Xenopus tropicalis: one gene and its partners. The protein of the gene in region 4 purifies or fractionates together with the protein of the main gene of each other region. This does not show direct contact. Links are inferred from orthologs where the notes say so. Each region holds a gene or a part of one and is shown on either strand. Other genes may lie near its edges. The genes, in order: rictor, arl2, eef1a1 and tubb.

Region 1 (5,305 bases), on a different chromosome or scaffold from region 4:
ACTTCAGCCTAACTGCACTGAAATCAGAACATGTGAATAAATAGCAAAAACAACTTGAATTCCTTACTGGGAAGGGCAGGTTCACTCTCGCTATTATGCCGAGAACTGGTCGACTCAGAGTTCAAGCTAAGCGTGCTTGGTATAGAAGAAAGCTCATTGCACAGCTGCTCCATATCATCAGGGACCACTGGCCAAAGATGCCTGCGACTGTGCCTTACGGCATCCCAGTTATGCTGCTTTAGGGTATCGCAACCTTGCTTTGTTCTGCTGAGCAGGCCAAGGACATACGCGCAGGTCCTAGAATACACAAAGAGTTTTGTTTTTTTCAGAAAAATTTAAATACAAATATCTAGCAAAATGTTCAGAAATCTTCCTACACATTTTCACTGCAGCAACTCCCAACATCTTAATCAACTCTTTTGATTACTTAGGGCAAAGATCCAAAGGTCTACAGTAATGCAGACATTTGAGGATTACAATAAGGCTCCTTAGAGCTACAGGTTTATAACCCAATAGAAGAACAAACACATGATCCGGAAGGGTCAGGTTCACCCTGGATCAGGGTCCACCACCTCAAGGTACACTGTTGTGATCACTGCATTACACTGGATCATTATGTCATATAAATGCGCCCTTTTCTTTAGTTACCATATAATTATTCTATTGAATATATTAATACGTTAAGGAACACAGAAGGGAGAACTAATAAAGGTGTGTGGGCAATGCCACAATGCTGTGATCTACTGGAAAACTGCAAACTAACATATCGGCACTCCTGCTGCAAAGATTTGACCTGTTCTGATCAGCCAATAAGACCGCACTCAACTTAAAATGAAGTATAAGAAAATAAAGCCACGCTACTTGCATCCTCAACAGAGGCAATAGGAAGGGGTTCTAAACCATGCAACCACACTCACCCTCTTATTGAGAGAACGTCACAATGCTGAGCCAGAGATACAATATCAGGGATCACATTCTCCTCTTGAAGTAAATTAAGTCCCCAGTTCGAAGACCCAATGTTACCCTATAAAACAGAAAAATGGAAGATTTGTGGTGGCAGCTGGAGGGTTTGTTTAAACGCAACCAGTCACTATGTGCTTGTGTGGTATGATATTAATAACATTGCATAGTTGTACCTCATGTAAGGAGTTAGAACCAGTAATGTCCCATTGGGTAATGTTATAAACAGACATAACTCACCAGTGCCCAAAGGGCTGCTTTCAGCTGCTTGATTCCATCCCATTTGTCTAATGATGGCGATCGGACAGTGTAGCTCAGATCTGGGACAACATTCTTCAAATTAAAAAAAAAATTAAAAAATGAAACCAATTAAGTTACCAACATAATAAAAAAGAATTCAGCATAATCAGCAATCAGCCCTTCATTCCTCACCCACCTACCTCTTCTTCACATAAGCTAGTACAGAGAGAACTAGTGTATATACATTGCTCTCACCTGAACTTCCAGCAGATGACAACCAGTCTTATGGTACACCAGCTGCCCATACAAATGCACAGGTAAATAAACATGGGGCCGCTGCTGTCTGTGTAGATAAAAATGCAAGAGGAACATAGTCAAAAAACATATTTCTTACAGCTGTAACATTTGGGTAAAGGTCGGTGCAGCTCAGGTACCTTTGATTGCTACGCCGAACATAGTTGTCACCATCAACTGGCTTGCGATAAGTGGTGAGAGCTTCGTTTAACTGCTCCTCAATCAGATCTACATATTTTAAATTGTATTCCTAAACAAAAGATAACATGTAAAAGAAGAATTTTTGATTGGAGGGTCAAGTAAGTCCTTTTTGCTATGTTTACTATAAAATCCCCATAAAGTCCCTTTCTCAGACCAAACAATTGCATTACAATGTAGGGGATATGAAAAGCCAGAACGTGGACCGCATCAGTGAGCAAAACACCAGCCCTCGATCAGACAGAAAAATCAACATCTGGGCGATGTTGGTCGGGGAGGCCTGGCGGAGGGCCCCATACACGTGCTGATAAGCTGCTGAATCGGTCTGAAGGACATGAACCAGCAGCTTAAACCCGCCTGTGGCCCCCTTTACGTGATAATTAGAGCAATGCTAATCACCAGCATTCTACCAGTTCATAAATGATAAACACAGAAAACTGCCCAGAGTCGGCTTTGTCCAAATACCTTTTGCCATTTTTCCAGCTGCTTGGTCACATAACCTCTCTCATTTAAATAAGAGAAGCCTTTTGGAATTGACATGAATCTGCAAAAATAATAATAATAAAAAAAAAAAACATTTAGTAAACCACAAGGTGAATGTTCCTGTTGAATTGGTACTGCAAGGCTGTAAGCAAATCACCTAAGGAGAAGGAGAAGCCCCTTGTCCCCGAGATGAGAGAGTGCCGGTTTCATTTGGATCAGTGCATGGAGATTGGCCTTAAAGAAAGAAATTATGTTTTACAGACCAAAATATTCTGTTTGCATTTTTATATTGAGCATATTGTTACTATTTAGATTGTTCTTATACAACATGCATTTTCTTAGGAATAATTGGTTTTAATTAGGCAAGCAAGCAAATCACCTTGTCTTCACAGGCCTCATCCAAGATGTCCACAGCTTCAGAAGATATATTTTTGCTTTTATCATGCAGCTGGGTCACCAGTAGCTCAATGCCCCAGTTACTGAAAAACTCAACGTTGGCTCTCAGAAGGACTCGCAAGTGCTTGGTGGCATACAGCCGGCAGCTCTGTACAGAAAGACAGATATTTTAATGTTTAATGTTCATGCAGTAAAAATGATGCGGTTGGAGTGCGGGAAATGTCCCCAACTTGTATCCATGGTAGGAAAAGTTAGGGTCTACATCTCCTTTAAGGAAACGGAGAGCAGAATAGAAGAAAATGGGGATAAGGGGGGAAAAAAGAAGCAGAAAATGTAAGATGGGGAAAGGAATCAAAGTGAGGGAAGGTGGGTGATCACAGGAAGGGTGACAAAAAGGGTTAATATGGAAGAACAAGAGTGAGAATAAAAAAGCATGGAAAAACAAAGGGGAATGTGAGTAGAGTGGAGCACATTTCACTTTACACCTGTGATATACAAGGAGGCATTTATGGCTTCCAAGCCAGCGAGCAAGGGGCCCTTTCTTTGCCTTTTCTCGGTGCAGAAAACTGCTGCAGGTCTCAATCGAGACGGACCACTATCCCCATAAATACAAAGCTGCCTGTATTTGGAAGGAGGGTTCCCACAGCAGAATATACAGTATATTTCTCCCTTCTTATCATGGTATCACAGCGGTGCCGGTGCTCATCCTCACATTCCCTTCATGACACCACAAGGACACTCGTGCTCAGCTACACAGCACATATGCATGAGGCATATGGTAGATATAAATACCCATAAACAGCCCCTCCAAAAATGAGACTTGTGATGGCCACAAAGGGATTGATCATACTCACATCAGTAGAAGCAGTCAGGGTTTTGGAAAGAATGACTCTGGCCAGCCCATCTCGGCTATAATCCAGGCAGGAGATGGCTAACTTTAACAAGTGATCTTGGTTTTTCAGGGAGCAAAGATTCAAAAGACTGCAAGAGAGCACAGAACACTGACTGAACCTTCCCTTCTCATATTAATGACCTTGCATGGATGGAGATATATAGAAAGGAATTTTACTTCTAAGCTATTTCCCAGTGTCTATGAAGATTCTCATTCATCTAGGTAATGATATACAATATCTAGTAGAATTCAGTCTAAAACAACTGGACTTTTCAGAGTTTATCTTAAAACATTTCACCACTCATCCCCTTTGCCTATCTATTTTCAACACTGCTGGTTCTGACTTCTGAAACAATGTTGCAGAAGGCAGCTGTGAAGAAGATTGCAAAGCTAACCTTTGCTATATCGGTTTCAAATAAACAGGGGCAGATAAGACATGGTTTTATATGAGCAAATGGCTTAATAACAAATGAAAACCTTTTATGAGCGTACATTGAAAGATGTGTAGAATGACTTTTGCTTTAAAAGGCAAAAGGTTATTTTTGGGTTTGTATCTCCTTTCACAGGGATATGACACATAGTAACATAACACATCAGAAGCTAAGCTTTCTTTCCCTCTCTCGGGGGGGGGGGGGTTGTGGCCAATGTGTTAAAAATGATATTTAGGGACCAGCGGGCTAACACTTTTTTTTGTGTAAAACTGAACAAATAAGTGTGGCAGCAACACAACTATTAGCTTTAATCAGTTAAAAAGGGCAATAAATAACAAGTATGTGCCATCACATTATGCATCTAGACAAGAAGACATTGTACATAATCATTTCTAACACAGACATGGCCCAAAAAACGGTCTATAAAGGATAAGTAAACCTTAAAAAATGTAATGTAAAATTGCTAATAGTGCAAAACTTATACTGAAATATATAAACTGCTTAATAGCTTTGGAAACAAATTATTAACTGCGAAAGTGCTTAGAAGGTCATTCTGAGCAATTTTACATTATATATCAAAGTCAAGCCACATAAACATTAGCTACATAAACACATTATATGTTCCGTTTAAGAGCAGTAAACTGACAAAACATAATTTTTTGACAAGCCCACTGCATGCTGGGATGAGTACCTCACCATCTGTCCCTCCTGTGGAAGATTCATACATGTTGGATAACCCTTTATAAACCATTACTTTTTTTTAATGAAACCACTGGTTTGCATTAGAATCTTAATTTAAAGGCTGCTAAACGATAATTATAAACGTAGTATTTAGATAAATGATACATATCACTTTCTCGTCAGTACTCTGGCATTTATTATTAGCACTGGACATTTCTAGCTAATAAAATCCTCACCTGCACCACAAGAATCAATTTTGTACATTGCTATTTTAGATATTCCTATCCCATGAGAGAAACAAGAAATGATAAAAAACCCATAAGAACCATCTTAGACATACAGAGTTGCATTGGCCATGCACGGGCCAAGCTGCCGATATCAGTCCTTTAGATCGATTTGGCAGCGTAACTGCCTGTTTATGGGCACAAACGACGGGCCTGCCTGACCGACATCTGGCCTGAAATAGGCCAGGTTTGATTTTTCCAACGGATCCGGGACCGCATTGGCTCGTTAAAGTGGTCCCCGAACAAATGGTGCCTAAACGACGAATAAGCCCGATATCACCCACCCGTAGGTGGGGATATCGGGAGAAGATCTGCTCTCTTGGCGACCTTGTATATGGCCACCTTTAAGGAAAGGCTAGTAAAGAGTTAATCTCAAGCTGCAGGCATACCTTCAGTTCTCTCAATAGTGCCCTTAAGTCTCCCCATTTTTCTCCCGTTCAGATGAT
Region 2 (5,783 bases), on a different chromosome or scaffold from region 4:
CAGTGGTAATATAAGACAGTTCTTATTTTTGTGTTTTTTTTAACCATTTTACTAATTATCTGTAATATAAAGAGGTCGGCACTTGATACACCTATAAACAAGTGTTATACAAAACTTAAAATGTATCAAGCCATTTGTAGGCAACACATACGAAGACAGCAAAGTAGTTTGATTTTTCTTTGTCTACTCATGGGGTCTCATTCACTGCCTGCCTCTATATATTATGGATTATCTGCTCCTTATATTGTAGGCTCAGATTTGTGCAACTAATCCAACTGCATACATAGGTGAGAATTTAACACCAATAGCACACTGGTTACACTATGACAACACTGCACTACATGATCTTCTGTAAGATCTGCCTTGTAGGAATGAAAGGTTGGTAATAGACTTCCCACTAAATAGTGACTGTCTATGGCATCTTACAGCAGCCCCTCTGGCATTTCAAGTACACAGAGACCCAAACAGCCCCCCACCAGCCCAATAAATAGTGACTGTCTATGGCATCTTACAGCAGCCCCTCTGGCCTTTGCCAGTCTGGGTCTGACTATGGTATTACAGTATTACATCCATGAACAGCAATGAAAAGATGGATTTCTCAGCTGCCTTGATTCAATAAAAATAATAAATATATAGTAAATATATAGATAGGCAAATATCTTGTAGTCAGTATATTTGCTAGTTATGGGCTGTCTGCACATTTAACAATTATTTGAATATAATTTTGCATTTGTTACTTTCACACTGTGATCTCAGGATTACGTTGCTCCTTTTGTCTCCCTTATTTCTGAAGAATAGTCAGTAAGACACTGTAATGTCAGTAATTATTAAATCCAGTATAACTGTACTAACGTAGGAATTAACCCATGACATTACCATTTTATAAACTGTGATCACAGATGTTTATTATTGCAGAAACATTGCTGAATTTAATGTTCATCACTCACTGACATTTTAGGGACACTGGGAAAGTGCTGAGGCACATTAATATATTTGTCTAGTTTTTTTCTTGTTTTTTGTACAGAACCAGAGAGCTATAGCAACACAAGCCTGTGTGGTTGATAGCAGGTGGCAAACACTATGTGAAGGTATCAGGGATATCCAACCAGCACCTGAAAAACATCTTAAAGGGTGGAAGTTCTGGGCATTCCTTTTTTCTATGAATCCAGCTCCCTCAGACTGGGGTCCCACATTTCCCCATTGCTCCCACCCCTCTCACTGTTACACTCGGTTCAGCCTCCTTTCACTACACATTCCTTATCAGATTTCAGCCTTTGTTCATTTTTGGCCCCTAAACCCAATTTTCTGCTGTTAAATATAATTCCACTTTCGGTATTTCAGCATCAGTCGTTTCCCATTATTTTAACAATCTATCTGCATTCCTGTCATCAGGGTTCCATTTTATGGTTCTTGTTCTTATGAATGATTTCAGCTCTGTCTCCGTCTTCACATCACCTATTTATATTAAATCATGTTTATATTTACCACCACGGCAAGCTAATCGCCTCCTTTATAAATGTATATTATCCGTCTCATTGCCTGCCCTATCTGTTTTGTCCCTCTATACGCCCATCTGCTTTCTCAGTTTGCTGCTTTTACTCACCGGCACCTTTGGGTAGACTTAGACACACAAAAGATGGCCACCTTGACCCGCCGCACGCATGCGACGCAACGTCACCTTGACAACCATCCACCAATGAGAACTCGCAGATACCCGAAATTATATGCCAAATATCTTTATCTTTTCATTACAATTCATTTATTTTTTTATTGTAAAAAAGTGGTATCTTTTAAATTAGAGAATGTGGATTACGAATAATTGTTATATATATTTATTACCTCACATAGTATTAGCATATACATATGACACGTTTTGTCATGTCGGTATAATTAAAGTTGTTGACAAAAAAAAAAATGAATGCTTTGTTTCCATAGCGACACGGTTAGATGGCGTTCATTGGCCTACGCAGACCTACGCAAATACCAATAGCAGGGGCGGAAGTTGAAGAACGTCGTATCTGATTGGTCGGCAGTTCTGACAGGAGACCTGGGCAAGGAGAAAGCGTCTGAGCATCATGGGCTTACTAACTATTCTTAAGAAAATGAAGCAGAAGGAGCGGGAGGTTCGGCTACTCATGCTGTATCCACACCTTGGTGTATCGCGGCGGGAACTATTGAGCTATTATGTTAGGGCCCGACTTGAGAAAGCACATACATTGCTACATGTGGCTACTGTCTTTATGGCTGTGTAAGAGCAAAGTAGGGATCGGACAATATTTCATGTTACACCGTGTAATGCTTGTCTTATGTAGCGTCTTAAATGGCGGGGTGACTGGTCAGTTTGGTAGGTGGGGGCAGAACATTAGTTATATAAAGCATGGTGTGTTTAGTTGCACTAATATAACTAGGGTGTGGTTTAGGTGCCCCTGACCTGCTGAGCACTTTGTATGGGGCCACAGTATATTCCAGAATATAACTGCGCTGGGCATTCCTTTATGCACTTGTGTCTGGCCATTCTCATATTGAGGTGAGTGCCAAAATGTACTATAATGTACTATAACAACGTGTCATTAATATTTAATCGTAGAAACCCACGTTTTTCTGTACACAAAAGTGTACATTTTGGGCACCATTTTAAACCTAAAAAGAAAATTGAAATTCACTGGAGGATGCCAATTTGTTAACCCCCCCCCCCCCCCCCCCCCCATATATATATTTTAACCCAGTTAGTCTCTCTCTAATTTTCTGTAAAAAAAAAAGAGAAAAAGCACACCAGCCTAATGCACTTTTTCAATGAGCTGCGCTCTTCCATCTTTGCTGCTTGTCTCAAATCCCTTGCAGCTGTTCTGCTCTGGTAGATATGGCAGTTTTAGTTCATTACATTACATTACATTAACATTTATTTATAAAGCGCCAACATATTCCGCAGCGCTGTACAATAAGTGGGTTTCATACATTGGACATACAGAGTAACATATAAAGCAATCAATAACCGATACAAGAGGTGAAGAGGGCCCTGCCCAAAAGAGCTTACAATCTACAAGGAGAAAGGGTTGAGACACAAGGTGTGGGAATGGGCATGACCAGAGTTGTGAGAGGTGGGGCACAGGGTATTGCTAAACTAGATTAGGGTAAGCCTCTCTAAATAAATGTGTTTTTAGAGATTTCTTGAAGGCAGAGAGATTGGTAGAAAGTCTGACAGTTTGTGGGAGCGAATTCCAGAGAAGGGGGGCAGCCCTTGCAAAGTCTTGAATGCGAGCGTGTGAGGAGGGAATGAGAGAGGAGTTGAGGAGCAGGTCAGTAGAGGAGCGTAACAAGCGGGTTGGATGGTACCTAGAGATGAGTTCAGAGATGTAGGGTGGGGCAGAGTTATGAACTGCTTTAAATGTGAGGGTCAATAGCTTGAATTTTATCCTGGATGGTAGGGGAAGCCAGTGCAGGGATTGGCAAAGCGGCACGGCAGAGGAGGAGCGGTTGGAGAGGTGTATGAGCCTGGCAGCAGTATTCATTATGGACTGGAGAGGGGACAGTCTTTGGAGGGGAAGGCCAATTAATAGGGAGTTACAGTAGTCCAGGCGAGATATTATAAGAGGGTGAATAAGAATTTTGGCAGCATCTTGGGTGATAAATGATCGGATTTTGGAGATATTTCTTAGGTGAAAGTGACATGATTTGATAAGTGATTGGATATGAGGGGTGAAGGACAGGGCAGAATCAAGGATAACCCCAAGGCACCGGGCCTGGGAAGATGGGGTGATGGTAGAATTGTTAACCGTTCAATGCATGGGCACCAGTCCTAGACAGCTTCAAGGGTTCATGGGTATGGGTGGTGGCACAAACGGCACAATACTCAGTAAGAAATGTACCCTGAGCCTCTGCATTTTTATCAGGAGCCAATGTTTGTATTGTTGAATGGTCATATCTTGCATCGTGGTACATTTATGATGAATATCCAGCCAGGCTGTTGGTTTGACCACATACACTGGCCGATAACCTGCAGACTCTTGGTGGGGTCAAGTCAGCAGCTATTATTAGATGACTGCATTGGGGTATGGGATGGGGATGAGTTTTCCTTGCAGCGTTTTGTTGAATATTGTAATCTGGCCATTGAAGGTATTAAGTTTACTTACGAAACAAACAGGGATGTGATCCCCTTCCTGGATATAGTATTTTTTGTACAAAACAACCGAATAGCAACAGATTTATACCGTAAACCTATAACACGCAATACACTCTTACATGCAGACAGCGGGCACCCCCGGAATTGTGTGCGAGGAATCCCAGTGGGACAGTTTCTGCATCTTAGACGCATATGTTCCTCTTGGGATTCCTTTCACAAACAGGCCATGCAACTGTGGGACAGATTTGTACAGAGAGGTTATGACACGGAAACCATCAAAATAGCCTATGAGAGGGCAGTTGCCACCAGTAGGTCCGATTTACTCAATAGTGCATCTCAGGATAAGGCATGCCCAAGGGGTAAGGCCAAATATAATCATAAGTCCAATACTAGGTTTTGCCTTACTTATGGCAAGGGAGTTGCAGAAATACAAAGAAGTGTCCGCAAACACTGGGCGGTCCTTTTACAAGATGCAGATCTGTGTAAGGTCTTGGATGAGACACCCCGATTTGTTTTTAAAAGGGGTAGAAATTTAGCCTCATGGATTTCTAAAAGTCTATACTCCACTGAGACTTATAAACAGGGGGCGACATGGATGCGCTATAAGGGTACATATAAATGCGGTAGAAGGAGATGTAAAGCTTGTACTCTAATTGGGGTATCCAAATCCTTCAGGAGCTCCAATACAGGGTGTGTCTACCAGATTCCCCAATACTTTAATTGTCAGACCAAAGGGGTGGTATATCTAGCCACATGTGAGTGTGGAGCCCAATATGTGGGCAAGACTATCCGGGGGGCAGGCATACGCTTTCTTGAACATATGTCAGCAGTAGATAGGGGTGATCTAAGGTCTGCAGTAGCCAAGCATGCCATTGAAGCACATAGTAAGAGGTGTACGATTACCTTTCAAATCATTGATAAACCGAGACTGAATGTCAGAAAGGGGGAACTGGATAAGAGGCTCTCAGAAAGGGAAGTCTATTGGATATATTATTTGAAAACCACTGAATGTTATGGGGGCTTAAATAGAGAGTGGGAGCTTTCCTGTTACTGTTGAATCTCTTATCTCTTCTTTGAATGTATGTCCTTGTTGTCTTTAGTTACACGGATGACATTGCGAATTGTTGTGATTTTATATATATTAAGGGTATGTCCATTGTTCTGATTTACTACCTAGATTAAATATTTATGTTTGGATACATTACCGATTACATGACATAATTAGCGAAACACACCTGTGAAGTGATAATATACCTCTTGTATACATATTCAGTTTAGATTTCAAAAGTAAGGGGTTATATAGTTACTATGTATACAGAGTCTTCATAATGATTTTATTGCCCTAATATTTTTATATATTTTTATATGTTTTCCACGTTGAATTGTATATATCATATCTGTTACGTGTTTTCCACGTTGAACTGTATATATCAAATATGTGTTACAAATGTGGCACCCTAGGGGTTAAAGCACACTTATGGGGGTGGGTCTTTACCTGGCTATTTAGGGCACTAGAGGGTGTGATTTGCACATTATAGCTTCTGAGGAAGTGGCAGTAAGCCACGAAACGCGTCAGGCTGATGGTGTAGTTTTGTTATGATTTTAATGGAGACAACAAATAAAGAATATAATTTTTACTGAAAAGCAATCCTGGCGTGCTCCA
Region 3 (6,026 bases), on a different chromosome or scaffold from region 4:
TAACTCATCATATTTGTGCTTCTGGTTTAGATCGGTTAACTGCCACTAATACACAGTTCAGATGGCCACTGGTGAAGATTCCTGGTACAGCTGGAATTTGAAGAGGTAAACAGCATTTAGCCTGCTCACCTAATCCCAGATGTTTTTATGGTTATATGGAAGCAAATGCCAACTAGACAGGTTTATCTATTGGAAAGCCCTCTTAGGTAAAGGCCGATACCAGATATTTGTCCAGACAAACCTCACCATGCAACTTCCATCAATTCCTTGTGTAATTTGCTGTACAGTGGGAGTATACATGCCATGAAAACCCTACATGCACTTTAGCCCATACAGAAACTCAGCCATACCATAGAAAGAATAAAGCATTGCTAGTAACTACACACTTGTGTGTCTTCCAAATTACCCAAGTCATTATACTGCTATTGCCATACATATTACAACTGGCTTGTGCCTGTGCCTTTTAGAGGCATGACGCTCTCAGCAACCCCATGCTTTCCTGCACTTGCAGCTAGAGACCAAAGTGTTGCAAAATCTCCTAAGACAACATACTACTGCTAGGTGTCTATGAAGATTTTCATTCATCCAGGTCATGGTATATCTAGTATAAATAAATCTAAAGCAACTGGACTTGTTTGGTAAATGATTGCCAAACAAGTCCAGTTGCTTTAGATTTATTTATACTAGATATACTACTGCTAGGTTTAAATCTTGCAACTTGAGGGAATGAAAATTACAGTTGTCTGTGCATATGCTTCTGTTTTGTTTAAAATGTAATTGGCACTGCAATAAAACAGAGGGGCAACTGGATTCACTGTGGTGTCTAATATAGGTACACCCAAGTAAATGCCCAAACTAATTAGTATCCAGTGACCTACCAACCTAGATGCTAATTTGTTTTATTTACAGCTGCAACACCAAGCTCAGCTGAAATCACCCACAGAGTGGAAAACAAGCTTGTTATCTTTTAACTTTTTTTTAATGGTCTCAATTTGGTGACAGATTTTGGTCAAGTTGCTTCCATTTAGAAATTACTGGATTTAAAACACTAATAACTTAAAAACTGCCACAAACAAATGTGTCCACGAGCATTTTTTTCCTTCTGAAGCTTTTGCGATGCATTGTAATCATTAACCAGTCTTTGACTATTAAACTCTGATGGCCAATTGATAGAAAGAGTTCTGAGACCAATCCTCCACCACTGGTTATGACTGAGGTGAGAGATGCTGGAAATATTCATTTGCCTTTCTGTGCTTTCTGAGCAGACTTTGTGACTTTGCCAGCTCCAGCAGCCTTCTTATCGACCGCCTTGATGACTCCTACAGCAACAGTCTGCCTCATGTCACGGACAGCAAAACGACCTTGAAAAAAATAAATGGATAATTAGCTTAAGGGCCTACTGGGTAGCATTTTACAAGACTGCAAAAAGGTTATTTTGAAAAAGACTTACCAAGAGGGGGGTAGTCAGAGAAGCTCTCCACGCACATAGGCTTTCCTGGGATCATGTCAACAATGGCAGCATCACCAGACTTCAGGAACTTGGGATTGTCTTCCAGTTTCTTACCAGAACGGCGATCAATCTTTTCCTTCAGCTCAGCAAACTTGCAAGCAATGTGAGCTGTGTGGCAATCCAACACAGGGGCATATCCAGCACCAATCTGGCCTGGGTGGTTCAGGATGATAACCTATTAAGTCAGACATTTAGAAAACAATCTTAGAGTTATGCAAAGCGATTTAAATGCCCCCATAGCCAGCTATGGAAAGCCATATCACTTCCTTTAGCCATAAGCCATCTTGCATACCTGTGCTGTAAAGGTACCAGCTTCCATTGGTGGGTCATTCTTGCTGTCACCAGCAACGTTGCCACGACGGACGTCCTTCACAGAAACGTTTTTCACGTTAAAGCCAACATTGTCACCGGGCATGGCCTCGCTAAGGGCTTCATGGTGCATTTCAACAGATTTAACTTCAGTTGTTACATTAACAGGGGCAAAAGTAACCACCATGCCTGGCTTAAGGACACCAGTCTCCACACGACCAACTGGTACAGTACCAATACCTGAAAGAAACAGCCATTTTAGTGTGAATACTTTAACATACTAAATCCCAGCACTGCCAAAACAAGGCCTAAACGTACATGTTGGCAATTACTAGTCTTCCTTCTGGAGACTTGTTTAGAGTGTCTAAGCTAAAATTAGATTTATGAGCTCTTTGCTGCCAATATTTTATTCACTAGACATTAAAAAAGCAGTAACGTAATATATCAAAGCTGTTAACTAGGGACATCCATGCCTGGTGAACTTCAAATTTGTTACTGCAGTTGGGGGGGGAGGGATTATTTCAGACAAGCAGTTAACCTGTACAAAAAAAAAAAAAAAAAAAAAAGGCTGCTAAGTTTTTTTAAACAGATGCACGATTTTTAACTTGGTTTCCCCCACAAACCATGTAGGCCAGTAAACCTAAAGCACGAACAACATTCCAGCATACACATAGGAAAAGTGTTACTTACCGCCAATTTTGTAGACATCCTGCAGAGGCAGACGCAGAGGCTTATCAGTTGGGCGACTTGGTGGCAAAATGCAGTCAAGAGCTTCCAGCAGGGTAGTTCCGCTGCCAGATCCCTCTTTACGTGAGATTTTCCACCCCTTAAACCAAGGCATCTAGAAAAAACAAGATTTGTATACATCAAAATACTGTTACACTAACCAGAGAGTATGCCAGGCTGTAGACATTTAAGTGAACTGCCACAGTACTTACATTGGCGCTGGGCTCAAGCATGTTGTCACCGTTCCATCCAGAAATAGGTACAAAGGCAACAGTATCAGGGTTGTAACCAATCTTCTTGATGTATGTGCTGACTTCCTTAACGATTTCCTCATATCTTTTCTGGCTGTATGGGGGTTCAGTTGAATCCATTTTGTTAACACCAACGATCAGTTGCTTTACTCCCAGAGTGTAGGCAAGGAGGGCATGCTCACGAGTTTGTCCGTTCTTTGAGATACCAGCTTCAAATTCACCAACACCAGCAGCAACAATCAGGACAGCACAGTCAGCCTACAAGAGAAAACATACATTTTTACTCATGTGCACTTAACAGCAAGCCTGCCTCACCTACTTTAGATATAAATAGCAAAGCTGCTTGGGACTTAAAACCTACCTGAGAGGTACCAGTGATCATGTTCTTGATGAAGTCTCTGTGTCCTGGAGCATCAATGATAGTAACATAATATTTGCTGGTCTCAAATTTCCACAGGGAGATGTCAATGGTGATACCACGTTCACGCTCGGCCTTCAGTTTGTCCAAGACCCAGGCGTACTTGAAGGAGCCCTTGCCCATCTGTTAGGTGAAAAGTTCAGCAATGACATGATTAAAAACCCCTTACAAGGCTTCTGCCAAGAATGACCTGACACACTGCAATGTTTATACTCCCCCTACTATCACAAACACCCAAGGCAGGTGGCTATTAATACAAACCAAATACAAGTACACATTAGTGCACAGGCAAGACTTGTCTAAACAAACATGTGCAGGACTAAATATTTAGTAAGGGGGGGGGGGGGTGAGACTGCTGCAATACCACAAGAAGTGCGATTGTTAACAAAATTTACCTCAGCAGCTTCCTTCTCGAACTTTTCGATGGTTCTCTTGTCGATACCACCACATTTGTAGATAAGATGTCCAGTTGTTGTGGACTTTCCAGAATCTACGTGTCCAATGACGACGATGTTGATGTGAGTCTTTTCCTTTCCCATTGTGGATTGTTAGATGTTTGGCGGTGGACACTAAAAAACATCAAAAAAAAAAAAAAAGCTAAAAATATAGGTCACATCAAAGCAAGCCATGGCAGGCATTACTCAGCAGTTCCAAGGGCTGGAGACACAAGCAGCCCCACCCACAATTCAAGAACTTTGCACAGATATCTAGTTGGAAAAAAAACCCTGAAATCCCTCATTACATAAAAGGAAGAAGGCAAGAGCGAGGCCTGTACTCCCCCTGGTGTATGAGTCAGGCCCTGCATGCAGCGCTCCCAGCTCTTTTGTCTCCTCACTTGTGACTCAGCCTCCATCTTGTGGAGAAAAAAAAATCCTTCAGCTGAGAGCCGCCGCCATCTTTATGGAACAACCAGATGGGGGAACGCAACGCTAAACAGGACTAATGGTTTAGATACGTTTCATTTCTATAGAAAAGAGCAGAGCCCACACAGAACATTTAACCCAATAAGTAAGCAGCTGCTATCCCGCGTTCAAGCAGGGCCAGCAGTAACCCGTAGCACGCCGGCCATTTAGTGAGTGAAGCCGCCCCCACTGGCTCGGATACACCGGCCACGCCGAGCCTGCCTGGGAGAGAGGGTGATACACGTCAGCACTAGCGCCATTGTGCCAGCCGGGCCCTGACACTGGCAATAGCCCCAGTCCTGCTATAGTTCAGCGCTTACAGGCACCACAAACACTATGTTCGCCTGACCAGTCTAAACTGCACTACGTACAATGAATCCCATGTAGGCGCGCCGCCACCCATCCGCACAGCTCTCTCGCTCCTTCCCCAAACCACGTTCACTTGTCGAGCCTTAAGCATTTACCGTCTGGAATAATACAGCACCGGCAATATTAACCACATCCGCCTAAAGCCAAGTATATATTGAGAGGAGGCGGATGGCTTACATAGGAGAGGATGCAGCGCAGATTGGGACTAGGCCGCAAGCCTTGCTTTGGCACCGTTCTTCATTTTGCGCCCACTTTAAGCACCCATGTTCCCTTCCCGCCAAGATATCTAGTGTAACAATACGGTAACACTAATTGCCAGAAATACGCTAATACACAGCTGAAAGAGACCACGGCCCCAAGCAACTCCGTAACAAATGCACGCGTGGTTCCATAAAAGTTAAATAAACTACGGCAGAGGAAACCTATTTATCTACAATAACAACGGAACAGAACACAGCACACACATCCAATTGCAGGTTTCACTGCAAATCTCAAAATCACGACCCGGCCCTTGAACGCAACCCACTTACCTTAAAACTCGCCGCAGACCCGGTGAGGAAGAGAGCGAATCCGCCGCTAACCACCCTTTATATAGCTGCCTCTACTGGGCGGGGCTTGATCGTGACATCATCGCGCCCAGAATTCCCAAAGTGTGAGAGGCGGGGTCTTGAGTGAAAATTCAGCCTGTAAGCTTCTAGTATACTACAACTCCCAGTAGCACTAGGGCGGCTCCGGGCGCAGCTGTTGAGCGAAACGCGCGAGTTATCACGAAGTTTAGACTGTGGGTTAAAGGAAAGATGGCACTCCCTTTTGCGTCATAGCTTCCTACCAACCCTACTGTTACTAAACTACCATTACCTAAATATACACAGAAGCCGTGTGTTGGCTGTTGACAGTTCAATATCGGGGTTTTAGGCCGAAATGGTGCGCATAATGTGCTGCTTTAGAAGCATTCAGCTACATTCTTACATTGAGCAACGTGTTCCGGTAACCCCGTGACTCATCCGCATCATGGCGGCCATGTGTCCCGCCTGGGGGGAGGGTCTGGGCTCTGCTACCTCACCTACAGTTCGTGTCGCCGTCACTTCAGTGGCCCTATTGTGCGGCATAGCATTTGCTAGAAGAGTTTTCTACCCCAATACAATGGGAAATGGCTGAATGCGTTGGGATATTCCTTCGCCGACCTTGTTTAACATGCGCGGCAGTATGCCAGGTTTATTAACAGCACAGCGGGCTGAAGGACTTGGGCCGCATGGAGCGGAATTCCAGGCATCCAAAGCTACAGGTGTCTGGTAATAAACTTGAACTCACGGTTCCCTCTTCGCTGACCTCCCCTGGGCATCGACAAATGCCGCCGCCTCTCGTATTGCAAAACCCGTCACTTGGGAAAGCAGCGGCCTACATCATGCGGGTGCTTCATGGGGGCTGAAAGGGGTTTTGGTTGGGGGGATGGTGTGGTTAATAAACTCACAAACTCGCTATAACTGTGTTTTTACTGAATGTGGTTACCATGTAGTCTGAATTAATGATGATTGTTACGG
Region 4 (5,530 bases):
CATTTATTGCTAGTTAAAGGAAGAATTTAGAATCTCTTGGAGTGAAGGATATAGCAGATTTCTAACAGGATGCCAATATGGCTGATATAACGGATGTGTGATCCATATTGTAAGGGTGTCCCAGTCTATTCCTGGCATTCAGGCGCAGCTGCAATGCCACACCCTAGGCTTTAGCGCTTCCTTGCCAAATGACCCGATATGCTTTACCCTGTGCAAAATAGACCCACTGAGATATATCATTATCCTGGCTTGTTACTGGGAATGATAATTATAGTATGTTTAATATACATATGTGTCTCCACTTGAATCTGCAGAACATTTATATTTCTATTAGTTTTATGGAGACCTGCCCATTTGTCAGCATTACATATTCTGTATATCTACTAAACAAATATCCAGTATTTTTGTGCATACGGGTGCACATGACATATTTCTAAATAGTATGTCACTGCCTGTCATGCTTTATAATGAATATCCTTTGTGTCACATTCCTGTCTCGCCTACACTAGGCTTGTGTGGCTGTCTTGTTCTCTGACTTCCTGTCAGTGTGGGGGAGGGAAGAGCAAACCCATTGAGTTGGAAATGGTAGAAAAGGATTGGACTGCAGGGAGTTAAATACTTAGCAGAACAGTAATGCAGGGAGGAGTATGAATTACAAATGAAAAGGCAGAGAGAGAAAATGAATGCGTAATAGTTTGTGGTTTTTAAAAGGCAGGGAAATAGATTCCTGAAATAGGTAGAGATAAAGTAGTCCTATTATATATATATATATATATATATATATATATATATATATATATATATATATATATATATATATATATATATATAAAAATAGAACTCCATATTGGATGGAGGCATAGACATCACATGGATTCACAGAGTGTGTTGTTTTTGCAAAACAGATGCAGAAATGTAGGAAGGAGGAAAAAAAGATAAGGGGGAATCGGAGAAAAAAATTGTATTGTGTAAGATCTGAAGGGGATGTGGTTACCATTTCCCTTTTCATTTTAGTTCTGTAAAGCAGCAACATCCAGCTGCCTTTGGCCTTTTTAATTATCCAAACTAATGTAACACGATTTGCATCAAACCTTTGGTTGGCAGCTTTCCGTATATTAACAAAGTGTATTTGTAAATTTTATTCTCAGTTTTGGGAGGTGATCAGTGACGAACATGGTATTGACCCCACTGGCACCTATCATGGAGACAGTGATCTGCAGCTTGACAGAATCAGCGTCTATTACAATGAGGCCACAGGTGAGAAGCGTTTGTATAAATGCATGTTTATGTCTGTGGGTGTAGGTAAAATGTGTTCAAAGCAACAAAAAAGTACCACTCTCAACAGGCTTAGTTGGAGAAACTGATTTTAATAAACAAAAGGAATTTTTTTTCTTGAGTCTCCTTTTGTGCCAGCTCCTTGTTACTTCCACTGACACACAGATTTTCTTCTTAGGTGGTAAATATGTCCCTCGAGCCATCCTTGTTGATCTGGAACCAGGAACTATGGACTCTGTGCGCTCAGGACCCTTTGGACAGATATTCAGGCCTGACAACTTTGTCTTTGGTAAGGCATATTTTTATATTTTTTTTTTTTGCCCGTTTTTTCTTTTCATGGTTTTTCAAGGTTTTTATTTGTTTTTATTATGTGTTTGGTTTGAAGGTGGATTTATACCAAATATAGTCCCTATCCTTGTTTAACTGAAGTGTCCTGCTTCTGTTCTGTTGGATAGCTTTGCTACATATCACATTGCAAATAAATTAAAAGTTGTTTGTTTTAAGAGGTTAACATGTTAAATGTACCCACACTCATCATTCCGTGGGACATATTTATTAAAGGCTTATATAGAGCTGAATCTAGTCCACCAGAGGGAAACTTCACAGGTCTATTTTAATAGAATCATTAGAGTAGTTATTAGAGGGAATTTAGTCACCTGTTAGAAGGGAAAAAAAATTGCATCACTAAACTGTACAGCTTAGATCATCTACTTGCTTGTGTTCCTTTGCTACATTTTGTTTTTCAGTACAAATTCACTCACCCTTGTCCGTTTTTATTAATTTATTTATTTTTTTTTCTCAGGTCAAAGTGGTGCTGGCAACAACTGGGCAAAAGGCCATTACACAGAAGGTGCTGAATTGGTAGACTCTGTACTGGATGTTGTGAGAAAAGAGGCAGAGAGCTGTGACTGCCTACAGGGCTTCCAGCTCACTCACTCTCTGGGTGGTGGAACAGGGTCTGGTATGGGCACTCTCTTGATTAGTAAGATCCGAGAAGAATACCCTGACCGCATCATGAATACCTTTAGTGTTGTCCCATCTCCAAAGGTGTCTGATACAGTGGTAGAACCATACAATGCAACTCTTTCTGTTCATCAGCTAGTTGAAAACACAGATGAAACCTACTGTATTGATAATGAAGCACTCTATGACATCTGCTTCCGTACCCTCAAGCTTACTACACCAACATATGGAGACCTTAATCATCTTGTTAGTGCTACAATGAGTGGAGTCACTACCTGCCTCCGTTTCCCTGGCCAGTTAAATGCTGATCTTCGCAAATTGGCTGTCAACATGGTGCCCTTCCCACGTCTACACTTTTTCATGCCTGGGTTTGCGCCCCTAACCAGCAGAGGCAGTCAGCAGTACCGTGCACTGACAGTGCCTGAGCTCACACAGCAGGTGTTTGATGCCAAAAACATGATGGCAGCCTGTGACCCACGCCACGGCAGGTACCTTACAGTGGCAGCTGTATTCCGTGGACGTATGTCCATGAAAGAAGTTGATGAGCAGATGCTTAATGTCCAGAACAAGAACAGCAGCTACTTCGTTGAATGGATTCCCAACAATGTCAAGACAGCTGTATGCGACATACCACCCCGTGGCCTTAAGATGGCAGTCACCTTCATTGGTAACAGCACTGCCATTCAGGAGCTGTTCAAACGCATCTCAGAGCAGTTTACAGCCATGTTCCGTCGCAAGGCCTTCTTGCATTGGTACACAGGAGAAGGGATGGATGAGATGGAGTTCACAGAAGCGGAGAGCAACATGAATGATCTGGTCTCTGAGTACCAGCAGTATCAAGATGCTACTGCTGAAGAAGAGGAAGATTTCAATGAAGAGGCTGAAGAAGAAGCTTAGACTCTTCTCACTGTTGCTGAAATTCCTTTCACGTTTCCTCCTCCATTCTCAGGCTGAGAAAGATCTGTACCGAAGAGTAGTATTTGTTTTTATATTCATATTTTTCCATTTCCTTTTTTCTCCTTACTTGTTTTTGTTGTCTCTCAAACTTCTATTCCCATTTTCTGTGTTCTGCTTGTCAGTTAAGGTAGGTTGTGGCTTAATTGGGGTAAACAGTTTGCTAAGGTTTTACAGTAGGTCTCTGGTTTCAGTATGCAGTAATTTGCCTCTGGATTTGGGTTTTGGATTTTAAGAGAGTTTTAACAGCCCATTGTGAATTCCATCTTTCCTTGGCCTAATAACATCATCAAATTTGTGGCTGGGTGCTGGTTTCTGCAGCTACATTTGGGTTACAAAGCAAACCTCTAATTTAGTCCCTTGGGACTTTACAAAACCCTTGCAGATTTTGCTTCTTTCTGTGCTTTTACAGATCACATTCAAGTGTTTGGTGGACATTCACATTTTCTTATGTTACTATGGAAATGACCTAGTAAGTGTTAAAATACACGTAACTGCAACTTCTGTCAACTAGAGCAATAGATATGATTCGGTTTTGCTCACATTTATGTAAATCCCAAGTATTTGAAATACCTTAATACTTCCAATTAGAAAATATGAAATGAAACTGATGTTTAACAAATGCACTTAATTCCCTTTACTGTAAACAGTATTGGTTGGTTAATTATAAGCTACATTAATCATATAGGCCCACTATCCATTGGGTAACTGGCATGGTTCATTGCCTGCAGTTGTATGTAGAGAAGTGCTCTGCATTTTACTTAACAAGTAACAGAAAAAAGTGCAGAAGAATGCTAAAGAACTCTACACAGTGATATAGGGATTATTTCTTCTTCTTCTCTTAACTTTACTCTTCAGATTTTCTTACATTACTTCCCTTTTTCTTCTCTTGTTCCCATACCATTATTTTTATTTTACTGTTGCTTTTTCATATTGAAAAGATGACAAGCCTGTGACGGAAAAAAATAAAACCCTTTTTTTTTTACATTGTCTTCTGTGTGATGGACTTATTTGGAAAAGTAGCTATGAATAAAAAAAAAACTTAAGTGGTATCAGATACCTGTTTATTGCCATTTTTTTTCAAGTAAAAAGGTAACCTTATTTTATTTTATTTATACTTCTAATAAGAGGCACAATGTTTGCCTATGTGCAGTAACCCATTTCATCCATTTTTAAAGGGGTGATGAGTAAAAGCTACCTGCTGATTGACTAGACATGTTTCAAACATTCTACCTTTTATTACATCACCCTCAAAGTTGCTCACTGTGCTGTTACATTTTACTACAAACTACATTTAGTAGAAATCATGCAACGCATTGCATGCTTCTCTCATTTTCTTTCCTAAGATGTCTGTAAAGCACATAACAATCAAGGCATGCTGATGCAGCATAGCAGTGTTATTCTGGGTAAGTAGAGGAAGGTCAGTTACAGACAGATTACTTTTAATAGGAATTATAAACAATTTAACTTGATAATTCTAAACCCACACGCGGTCCGAAAATCATACCAAACTAGGTACCCAGCACTTTGCATTATAGAATTCAAGACAATCTTCATCTTATAAGTGGGTATGTTGTAGCTTTGCAGACCTGACAGAACTGCTGTTTCACCCACCCCCCAACACTTTTTCAGACACTGACCAGAGAAACTCCAGTGAAGGTGTAGTTTTTAAAGCCAACAATCCTTCCCCCCCCCCCCCCCACCCCCTCAATAAGCTATATGTAAATCAAGCACCATATTATTTAAACAATGAGGGTGGTTCAATGTGTACTGTTTTCATGGCCTCGGTCAACAACCTTCTGCAGGATGAAACTTTCAAGTGCCAAACCCACTAAAAGGGCCATAGAGTAGGCCGGTGGGGAATTCAGTGGGGCTAGGAACTGAAGATGTGAATGTGCTGGCTTAAATGGTTGTAGGCAAATCTTGTAGGCCCAATCTATACCTATAAGGTTTAATAATGTGATAATATGTACTTACACAGATAGCTATACACAAGCTCATTTACACTATCATACAAAATTTGTCGGATCAACACAGCTGACATTCACATTCATCTGCCCTGATAAAGGGGATTGTCCGCTCTGATTCTGTCACTCTTCACACAGTTGAGGAGCAGGAAGCTTTTCACAGAGGGACGGGGCAGAGTTAAGATCTGCGGCTCAAATAGAATAGGCAACAGGCAGTACCTTAGACTGAATAGCTCTGGGATAGTACATTTTAGAATGGGTACATGCTCCAAGATGTAAGCCTTGGGCCCTGCCAACCCAGATGACTTCCTGATCTCTGCAGGGAACTACGAGCGCTCACCCACCCATTTAGCTTGGCCACATGTAGGAAT

What was found.
Region 1: the proteins of tubb (region 4) and rictor purify together in Homo sapiens (affinity purification with mass spectrometry; 3 studies listed by BioGRID and IntAct, with this or other methods). This does not show direct contact. The link is inferred for Xenopus tropicalis from reciprocal best matches to the Homo sapiens genes TUBB and RICTOR.
Region 2: the proteins of tubb (region 4) and arl2 purify together in Homo sapiens (co-immunoprecipitation; 3 studies listed by BioGRID and IntAct, counting the BioPlex papers as one, with this or other methods). This does not show direct contact. The link is inferred for Xenopus tropicalis from reciprocal best matches to the Homo sapiens genes TUBB and ARL2.
Region 3: the proteins of tubb (region 4) and eef1a1 fractionate together in Homo sapiens (co-fractionation; 3 studies listed by BioGRID). This does not show direct contact. The link is inferred for Xenopus tropicalis from reciprocal best matches to the Homo sapiens genes TUBB and EEF1A1.

The regions. Positions count from the first base shown.
Region 1 is NC_030677.2:197,058,717-197,064,021, reverse strand, and holds part of rictor (rapamycin-insensitive companion of mTOR), read right to left. Parts: intron 3,553-5,305; coding exon 3,426-3,552; intron 2,720-3,425; coding exon 2,555-2,719; intron 2,410-2,554; coding exon 2,333-2,409; intron 2,237-2,332; coding exon 2,158-2,236; intron 1,745-2,157; coding exon 1,635-1,744; intron 1,544-1,634; coding exon 1,456-1,543; intron 1,294-1,455; coding exon 1,201-1,293; intron 1,025-1,200; coding exon 918-1,024; intron 298-917; coding exon 68-297; intron 1-67. UniProt on the Homo sapiens protein: Component of the mechanistic target of rapamycin complex 2 (mTORC2), which transduces signals from growth factors to pathways involved in proliferation, cytoskeletal organization, lipogenesis and anabolic output.
Region 2 is NC_030680.2:32,598,485-32,604,267, reverse strand, and holds the start of arl2 (ADP-ribosylation factor-like protein 2), read left to right. Parts: upstream 1-2,029; 5' UTR 2,030-2,075; coding exon 2,076-2,140; intron 2,141-5,783. UniProt on the Homo sapiens protein: Small GTP-binding protein which cycles between an inactive GDP-bound and an active GTP-bound form, and the rate of cycling is regulated by guanine nucleotide exchange factors (GEF) and GTPase-activating proteins (GAP).
Region 3 is NC_030681.2:91,800,336-91,806,361, reverse strand, and holds eef1a1 (elongation factor 1-alpha 1), read right to left. Parts: upstream 3,784-6,026; 5' UTR 3,754-3,783; coding exon 3,610-3,753; intron 3,338-3,609; coding exon 3,158-3,337; intron 3,055-3,157; coding exon 2,758-3,054; intron 2,661-2,757; coding exon 2,510-2,660; intron 2,060-2,509; coding exon 1,803-2,059; intron 1,686-1,802; coding exon 1,451-1,685; intron 1,362-1,450; coding exon 1,237-1,361; 3' UTR 958-1,236; downstream 1-957. UniProt on the Homo sapiens protein: Translation elongation factor that catalyzes the GTP-dependent binding of aminoacyl-tRNA (aa-tRNA) to the A-site of ribosomes during the elongation phase of protein synthesis.
Region 4 is NC_030684.2:75,225,313-75,230,842, reverse strand, and holds the end of tubb (tubulin beta chain), read left to right. Parts: intron 1-1,148; coding exon 1,149-1,257; intron 1,258-1,453; coding exon 1,454-1,564; intron 1,565-2,077; coding exon 2,078-3,135; 3' UTR 3,136-4,177; downstream 4,178-5,530. UniProt on the Homo sapiens protein: Tubulin is the major constituent of microtubules, a cylinder consisting of laterally associated linear protofilaments composed of alpha- and beta-tubulin heterodimers.